2 linked regions of the Arabidopsis thaliana genome follow. The protein of the gene in region 1 binds, or shares a complex with, the protein of each later gene. Each region holds a gene or a part of one and is shown on either strand. Other genes may lie near its edges. The genes, in order: AT3G54630 and AT3G48210.

Evidence for each region.
Region 2: AT3G54630 (region 1) and AT3G48210 share a complex: the UniProt entries of both Arabidopsis thaliana proteins name them as parts of the NDC80 complex.

The regions. Positions count from the first base shown.
Region 1 is NC_003074.8:20,220,416-20,224,981, reverse strand, and holds AT3G54630 (kinetochore protein), read left to right. Parts: upstream 1-1,953; 5' UTR 1,954-2,080; coding exon 2,081-3,787; 3' UTR 3,788-3,885; downstream 3,886-4,566. Other genes in the region: TSA1 (tryptophan synthase alpha chain), read left to right, coding at 122-268, 362-427, 520-705, 1,035-1,112, 1,206-1,283, 1,380-1,439, 1,517-1,651. UniProt on the Arabidopsis thaliana protein: Acts as a component of the essential kinetochore-associated NDC80 complex, which is required for chromosome segregation and spindle checkpoint activity to ensure proper cell division.
Region 2 is NC_003074.8:17,847,359-17,852,414, forward strand, and holds AT3G48210 (kinetochore protein), read left to right. Parts: upstream 1-1,992; 5' UTR 1,993-2,076; coding exon 2,077-2,260; intron 2,261-2,428; coding exon 2,429-2,494; intron 2,495-2,640; coding exon 2,641-2,787; intron 2,788-2,954; coding exon 2,955-3,068; intron 3,069-3,161; coding exon 3,162-3,251; intron 3,252-3,359; coding exon 3,360-3,482; intron 3,483-3,600; coding exon 3,601-3,812; intron 3,813-4,026; coding exon 4,027-4,038; 3' UTR 4,039-4,427; downstream 4,428-5,056. Other genes in the region: AT3G48209 (Plant thionin family protein), read left to right, coding at 323-526; AT3G48220 (F-box protein), read right to left, coding at 4,926-5,056. UniProt on the Arabidopsis thaliana protein: Acts as a component of the essential kinetochore-associated NDC80 complex, which is required for chromosome segregation and spindle checkpoint activity to ensure proper cell division.

The sequences.
Region 1 (4,566 bases):
TCTTCTTATCAGATTGAGTTAGCATTGAGTTTGATTAGGTTTGCAATCTTGGTCTTACTGATACGATTGGATTTTGTAATTTACAGTTCATTTGCAATTTGTTTAACTTTTATGTGTGAAGGTAGCATTCATACCATATATCACAGCTGGTGATCCGGATCTCTCTACTACTGCTGAAGCATTGAAAGTTCTTGATGCTTGTGGTTCTGACATAATCGAATTGGGTGTTCCTTACTCTGACCCTTTAGCTGATGGACCTGTTATTCAGGTTTAAACCAACTATCAAAATGCAACCTTTATATATGCTTCCCTTGCCTTTTTTTTGTTTGATCATCTTGCTCTTTGTTATCTATTCAACTAGGCTGCGGCAACAAGGTCGTTGGAGAGGGGAACAAACCTCGATAGCATCCTTGAGATGTTGGATAAGGTGAGTTTAGTTTCTGAAGGAAAGATGTGTGTTTGTGTCCCCTGTCAGATATCGTTCCTATATGTGTGTTCTTATTGTTGGACTTGGTGCAGGTTGTTCCACAAATATCTTGTCCGATTTCGTTGTTCACGTATTACAACCCGATTCTTAAACGTGGGTTGGGGAAGTTCATGTCCAGCATCAGAGCTGTTGGTGTACAGGGACTTGTGGTTCCCGATGTTCCTCTTGAGGAAACTGAGATGCTGAGAAAAGAAGCCCTCAACAACGACATTGAGCTGGTAAGCATATAATCTGAAGGACGCATATATCTTGGTAGCATGATTCTCAGTCATGCCAGTGCAGTATAGATTCATTTGTGTATCTTATTTATTTTCTTCGTCTCCTCGAATTTGGTTTTTCTTAGCTGAACCTACGTATCATTTGTCTCTGTGGAGATTTATTTGCCAGCCTTATCAATAGAAACAGTAGAAGCATTGTTTAGTGTAGACACTGAGACTACAGTACTATACATGTGTTTTGCTGGATCTGCCTCGATCTATTTTGACATTCGGCTTTCAGTATCTTTGCCTTTTAGTAAACATAATTTTGCTCAATGTTTGTAATCAAGGTCCTACTCACTACACCAACCACACCAACAGAGCGAATGAAGCTAATTGTTGATGCGTCAGAAGGATTTATTTACCTTGTAAGATCCCTCTCAGTGTATATTTCTCTTTGCAGATGTCACATGTGTTTACTTAATTTGAGAATGTATTGGCCCTTTTTTTGGGTTTAACAGGTGAGCTCAATTGGAGTGACTGGTGCACGATCATCTGTAAGCGGAAAGGTTCAGTCGCTCTTGAAGGATATCAAAGAGGTCTAATAACAGTTTTTTTTTTAAAGATTGTTTCTCAAATATCTTGAAATGATGTAGAAATGCTCAAGTTGTTTAGTCATTTGTAATTCAATGCAGGCGACAGACAAGCCGGTGGCAGTCGGTTTTGGAATATCAAAGCCGGAGCATGTGAAACAGGTCCTAAACCTTACAAAGCTTCTCTTATGTTGTCTTCATAGTTACTTCTTTGCTGACTAGTTTTGTTGTGTCAACAGATAGCTGGATGGGGAGCTGATGGAGTGATCGTAGGCAGTGCAATGGTAAAGCTATTGGGTGATGCAAAGTCGCCAACTGAAGGACTTAAGGAGCTTGAGAAACTAACCAAGTCTCTTAAATCTGCTCTTCTTTGAAACACAAACATTTGCAGACAACATCTTTAGATTGTGTTTTTGATTATTATCGGTGTGTGACAATGATGTCTCAATCTTTTGATACATTTCAAGTATGATTAATAAGTTACTGTGACTCAAGCCACACAACCAGTTGCTCGGTTTACACAGAATAATAAAAACGTTATGACTCAAATTGTTTTCCAATTTGGTTCGATAAATTTGCGACCCGGTTTGATATTATGGTTCGATTAAACCAGAACAAAACAACCCTATATATAATTTCTTTTGAAATGAATGAGAAATAAAAAAACAAAGAAATTCGAAGAGGTTTTTTTAGGTTTTCGAAAATTCAAATTACAAAAGTAATCCATCCCGCTGCTCTATAGAAATATATTTCCCGATCCAGTTCCAGTGTCAGTTGCTTTATCTGTAAAAAGCAAAAAAGAGATGAGAGGCGGAGCCGCGGGAAAGAGAAGAACGACGGTGGGTTTCGGCGGAGCGCCGCCGCCACCTCCACCATCAATCGAGCAACAACGTCACCTCTTTAACTCAAGAGACTCCGACGCCAGTTTCGCCAGCAGCCGTCCTTCATCAATCGGTTTAGGCGGCCGAGGAGCCTCCGATGACAGATCTTCGATGATTCGATTCATTAACGCCTTCCTCTCCACACATAACTTCCCGATCTCTATCCGCGGTAATCCTGTTCCTTCTGTCAAAGACATCTCCGAAACCCTAAAATTCTTGCTCTCAGCTTTAGATTACCCTTGCGATTCCATCAAATGGGACGAGGATCTCGTCTTCTTTCTCAAATCGCAGAAATGTCCTTTTAAGATCACCAAATCTAGCCTCAAAGCTCCAAATACGCCTCACAATTGGCCTACTGTTCTCGCCGTTGTTCACTGGTTAGCTGAGCTTGCTCGTTTCCATCAACATCTAGTATCTAATTCCACCTCCGTACCCGAAGATAACTCCATGAATTTCTTCGCGATTCAAAGCTTTGGTCACTTCATTCGCGGCGAGGATGATAAGGTTAACGATTTAGATTCTCAATTTTTGGGTAAATTGGAAGCGGAGAAGACTAGCGTCGCTGAAACTATCTCTGGTTGTGAGAAAATCTCCGGTGAATTGGAGGCTAAACTTGAGTCACTGAGGAAAGGTCCTTCGAAGAAAGAGTCTCTGGAGAAAGTTAAAGCCGATTTGGAGAATGACGTAAACAAGTTCCGAACTATTGTTGTGGAGTATACTGATAGGAATCCAGCGATGGAGAAAGTTGTGGAGGAGAAAGCTAAGGAGCTCAAAGCTAAGGAAGAAGAGAGAGAGCGAATCTCTGTAGAGAATAAGGAGTTGAAGAAGAGTGTGGAGCTTCAGAACTTTAGCGCGGCGGATGTAAATAGGATGAGAAGAGAGTTACAAGCTGTGGAAAGAGATGTTGCGGATGCTGAGGTTGCTAGAGATGGTTGGGATCAGAAAGCTTGGGAACTCAATTCACAGATTAGGAATCAGTTTCATCAGATTCAGACACTTGCCATTGACTGCAACCAAGCTCTCAGGAGATTGAAGCTTGATATTCAGTTCGCTGTTAACGAGAGAGGGGAAACACCTGCAGCGGTGATGGGTGTGGATTATAAATCGGTGGTGAAGCCAGCTCTGTGTTCGTTGTGCGATGGGATCAAAGGAAGCTCGGCGGAGAAAGTGGAGGAATTGGTCACTTTACAGCACCATAAGTCTGAAATGGCTTCGAAGATCGAATCCAAAAGGAGTCTTCTTGGGTCAATTCAGTTGCAGATCAATGACCTCGAAGAAAAGATGAAGTTGGTGAAGAAGGAAACTCAGGAGTTGAGTACAAAATGTGATTTGGAGGCGAAAACATTGGTTGAGAGTGTGAAAGCTGAGGCTTTGAATCTGGAGGTTGTGGAGAAAGAAGCTGCTGAGTTTGTAAAAGCTTCGGAGCTTAGATTGCAAGAAGCAGTGAAGGAGAGTGAAGAGGAGGTCCAAGCATGTGCTGCACAACTCTTTGCACTTATCGATTCGATATCGAAACAGAAAGAGTACATGGATTCGAAGATATCGGAGATCAAAACCGGTGTTGCTGATACTGCCAGTGCTGTTTCAGAGATATACAAAGCCAACTTCAAGAAGAACCTTGGTATCTAGTGGTTGGAATCAACTGAGCCAAGAGATTGTTAAAAGCGTGAGTAATTCCTATTGCTTTTGTTCACATAGTCGTATTAGCATCTATGTGTGGTATGTATGAGTTTTCAGGATGGATAATTGAAATTGCTCAGCTATGCTAGTAGTATATAAATATCTGTGTTTCTTTTTTCATTGAAACTTAGATGATAGGCACATAATCTAATATTCACAATGTTTAACTCAAAGAACGCTGTTATGATCAAGTTACATAGGATTTCCAATGAATACACTCTTACCTTCTTTTTACCATAAGCTGACTTAGGTGACTTTGATTCTTATTCGGTTTATCCCCTCGGGTCTCTTGAAGTCAGGCTATGTTTGCAGCTCCTCGGTTGTAACCTCTTTGGGTTACCACTTTCTTCAGTCTCACTGAGTTCCTCCTTTACTTGTTTAAAGCTTGCTTACTCATGCATCATATGTGGTGAGAATATCTTACTGATGATATGAATAAGAGAGAGTAGCTATCAAATCAAGAAAATGAGAGGAAGGAGTTAAAAAAGACAAAGGAAACCTAAGCTGCTTATCTATAAAGCCAACACATTATTCTTACCCTTTTGCCCACAAAGTAAATGACACACATCAACTAAAGTAGAAATTTAAAATGCCTTTGAATGCCTTAATTTGCATTTTTATTAAATTATTAACAGAAAAAAGATATGTTGGTTAGTACTAATCCAATACAATACAGAAACGTGTCAAGTATCCTAATCAATAATGGCGGCTCCACGTAAGACAAAAAC
Region 2 (5,056 bases), 2.4 Mb from region 1:
TCTGGCAACTGACTTTTTTTCTTCTTTCTAACCTTCAATATAAATATTATATGAAACTTGAAAGTAATTATATATATCAAAAGAAATCTAATTAGAACCATTATAAGTAATAAAGAAAAATGTTGACAAAAACAAACTTGCAAAAGTAATAAAGAAAATTTTAATATTTTTAATTATAGTCTAGTCAAACTTTAAATTAATGATTTTAACTTTTCTGGACATTAGTTTTATATATACTACACACACACCTATGACAAAAAAGACATGTATACGTAAACATACACTTACAGGGAAAAAATTAAAGGAAAGAAACTAAAAAAAAATGGAGATGAAGAAATGTAGTATGATCATGATGATAATGATGATGGTGGTGATGGCATCCATACGAGGAGGAGAAGCAATTATAATAAGAACAACATGCAAGCAAATGTGCATCGACCAATGTGGTGGCCGCATCACTGTCCCTGAGACCCCTTGTCTCCGTAAATGTCTTCACGAAAAATGTGGCTTTCCAGCTCCTCCGTAATAATTCGTAACCTCGTATATATTTACGTATATTGATCAAGTATACCTTTTAATTTGTGTTGACTAATAATTTATATTTATCGCGACATTGCAGGATGGAGGCTGTAGGAATGGAAAACCTCATAGGATAGATCCTCATATCCTCAGTTTACTTTTCATAAGTTATTGTTGTGGAAGGAAAGAATTACAATAATTAAGAGTAATGAACAAAAACTCAGTTTACTTTTCATAAGAAATTTTGATGTGTACAATGATTTTTTCCTATGATCATAAAGATTTCCGAGGCCAAAATTAGGGTCAACATTCATTCATATTGGATTTGAACCTTATTTTGATCCTTATAAAGACTTTCTTCGATCGATTTACTTCATCCATATTTTATGGCCCTTTCTCCTTCGACAACAACGCATTAATTCTCAGGACGGGTGCGTTGCAATGTAAAAAGTTCTTTCGAAATATTTCATCCGATTAGTTTTCCTCAAAAGTATTAGTTTCAATTAAATTAAAGATAATAGCCTAATTATAAGATAATAGCTTAATTATAAAGCCAGCCAGATTACTTCAAGTTGAAGTAATCAAGCAAACTATCTAACACTGATAATTCGTTTAAGCTCCGATGCTATATATCTAGCACATGGTTAATGCTATAACAAGTTAACACCCTCTGCATGGTCCAATATCTATAAAAATTCTAAACAGAACAAATTAATGTACAAACACAGAACAAAATAATGTACAAAACACATTTTTGTCCCTTTTGCTTACTTACACAGTAAACTCATTGTCTTATCTACTCATTACAGGTTTTATTGAATTAATTATCAAAAACATACGCACCCATTTCTACTGATATATAGTGAAAATACTCTAATTTATTATTTTAAAAAAAAAAACACTTTGCAGGTCTAAAGTGAGCTAGGGACGTGAAAAAACTGAAAATACATATTGAAACTAGACGAAGGAATTGTTATGTTCAATATGTATTTAGTGTTAATTAAAAGACTAGTTGCTTGAAGGAAGAGAAGACATGCAATGATGCAATGCAGAAAACGTAGTTAATGCATTAAAAGAGTCTTTGACTCTCTAAAGTGTAACCGTAGTATTCGGTTTTGTCAGCTCCTTCGGCTAACTAATTAAAATCCTAACGGTTCAATTTTCAACCTTTCACACACTATTCAATATTACTATTTTCCGAAAAATTGGTATGATAAAAATAATATTATTGTAACTATATTGTAAGTAAGGGTTTTGATTTAGAGCGATTAAAAATGTTATAAATCAAAATAGTGATTGATGCCAAACGCGTATTAAATCAAACGTTTGCCGATGACTGAACTACTTTCGGTAAACGAGAAACCAGACAAATGGGCCTGTCTCAGAATAGCCTTTTAAGGAGCCCAATAAATTTGGACGTAGCACGATATGAAAACGCCATCGTTTTAAAGTTCTCATCACGATGGTTCGCGTTTTGAAGCATATTTTCGAAACTCGAATCAAAATTCAAATGGCGGGCTAAACTTCGATTCAGTCTCTCTCTTTCTCTCTTTGGTGATGGAACAAATTAGCAACATCGCTGGTGGAGACACAACGAAAGAGACTATGGCGTCTCTGGGTCTCATCTGTGAGAAAGATATTCATGAACAGCGTCTTAAAATCGATTCTTTCATCGCTTCTCCTTTCCGGAGATCGATGAACTCTTTAGTGGAGCGAGCTCAAGCCACTGCTCAAAGCCAAGGTAAAATTCAAAATTCGCATAGTACCACTCAGTTCCGTATGACCCAGATCGTAAATTTCACACTTTTTTACGGTTTAGGCTCTGTCTCTCTGAAATTAGGGTTTTAAAATTTCGACATCAGACTGGTAAAATTGAGCGGTTCTGTGAAATGTTTCTTTGATTTTACAGTGGAACTAATGAATTTGAAAGCGGATCTGAGAGAAGCAGAGGATGAGCTAGTTAAAGTGTTGGCAGGTATTATTACCTCAAAAGCTTGAAACTTTGAACTTAGTTTCTTAAATCATAAGATTCTCCTTGGTGTTATTTTCATGCTTACATACATTGTTTTGCTGAGTTTGGATATCTTACTGTCTTTGGGATGTTATATGTTTGATGTTTAGTGAAAACCCGTAAAGAGGCACGGCAAATGGGGATAAGAGATTCCATTTCTGCAACACAATCTAGGATTGAAGTACTTAGAAGAAATTTGCAGCTACAGAAGTCAAAGAAGGATGATTCTGTGAGAATTATCTCCCAACAGTTGCAAGGTATCGTTATATAATTCTGAAGTTCATTATACATACAAGTTTCATGAGTCAGCTACATGCTTTGGGATTTTGTAAAGTGAAGATATCTATAAAAAGTACTCTGCTTGTTTCAATAAGAGATCACATGAATCACTGAAGACCAAGCTAACATATTTCTTCCAATAAAGCCTTGTCAAAATCGAAGGACAACGCTGGTAAAGTCACCGAAGACAAAGCAGATATTCATGAAGCAATCTCTTGGTATAATCATGCTCTCGGTTTTCACGTTGAAGCTGGACATGGTAATAGAGACATTTTGAGTTTGTAACAATCTTAGTTCTATATTACTAAACCTTAGCCCTAAAAGAGCTTTGTTGTTTTAACTTCTCTTACAGGAGTTAAATTCACATTCACCAACATTGATGCAAAAAGGCCGACCCGCGAATTTTCGTTCACAGTTCACTATGGAAATGACATCTACACACGTGAGTATATATATGTCTTCTTGAAGCAAGCATCAACTACATTATAATGTTTACAAAAAAACCTAGTAATATGAACTGTTTACAGTCGTTTACTTATATGATCATCAGTATTGGATAGCGATCTGCAATTGGATTACATCAACGAGATGGTTCAAGAATTGAATAAAACCAATGACCTTTTCAGATTTGTTCGTCTGATGAGGGAGCAGTTTCTGAAATCCACTTTATCTGGTAAATTGTCTCAAGCCTATCCTTTTATAACCTCTATCTCCATAAGTGAGAAATCTTATTTTCGATATATATAAAAGTTGAATATGACCAAGACTTGTGTTTTATTGGATTTTGTCAGAGCTGCCAACACATTCAGGACAACTGCAACAGGAAACGTCTGCCATATCTGCTTCAGCTCCAGCTATATCATTTTCCACTGATACAAACATGTCAACTCCAGAAAACAAAAGATCTAAGGTTCAAGTGAATCGGCGACAAAAAAGAGGTAGCGAATCACCACTCCTAGCTCCTGTATCCACATCTGCCACTCGCCGTTCTTCTCGCTTTAAGGTACTGGATACTCATTGTGTTCTTAAATGTTACAACACCAAACCAAATTCAAAATATTTGTTAGATACTATAGTTTCCAAAAGTAGGATACCAGAACCTATTTGCATAACAACTGGACATAATAATGTTCTATCTGATTAATAATACTTAACTGATCACATGGAGCCTATAGTATTTAACATACAACTTATATAGCAACTCTAACTTGTTACAGGGTAAGAAATGAAGGTGGAGCTCTGTTTTCCTTTTCACAAGCATCAAGGAATAAACTTAAGCGTAGATGATGCTGCGGAACTTTCGACAACAACAGATTGTTGTTTGAAATTCCTATAAATATTAGAATGTCATTGTAATCACGCTTATTGACAATGTTGATTTCTTTACTAGTGTGGATGCTATGCTTATACACCAATCGATGATGGAGCTTGTGGGACTAGATTTTAATCGATGTAATCTCGCGCTTCTCTATTTCTAGATTTCGTTAGCTAATGGATGCTTGTCTAGCTTCATTAAGATTGCGCATTAGAGATAATGATGGATACTTGAGCCATAGATTGTGCATTAGAGATGTACAGTTTATGCAATTTTAAAACTAAAAATATAGCCACAACCATATTTTCTATCTTAAATTAGACAAGAAAACAAATCAAACACCATTCTCCAACTCGTTGTTCCTCTTGAAACGACTCTTCACCTCGCTCATGAAGGCGAAGAAGGGATTTGGTGTAGCCAACGCGGGAGAACGAACATGGAAAAGTATAAGTGATAAAGGTCTTCCAACATGTTACAATCCCCAGCAAAACTCAGAGTTTGATAATCTTTGCAACATTCCAAGCTGTTGTGAAGCCCGAACTTGTCTTTACGCAAATTAGTAGACCCCAAACATGAATGCATCTTGCACCACATGTACATTGTATTAGCATCAAAAGGGTTTATTGCCAGCGGAATGTAATCAAAACCAGTCTCACTACAAGCTAGAGATATTTCAGATACTATTTCCCATTCCCGGCTCTTTAGCCTCCATACACGTAACTTATGCTCTACATGTGCATCATCTTTGTCTTGGGAGAAGATGTTCATGTACATGATATATCCTTGAGATGTTGTGCAAACTCATTTTAAATTTGGTGGTTTCGTTCCACCGTCAGGGAAAGGTGTAACTTGGCATCGATCAGATTCCGTGCCAGTCGCGTAGAAATCATGGAACACAACAACCTCTCCATAGTCGTTGTTGTAGCCTATCC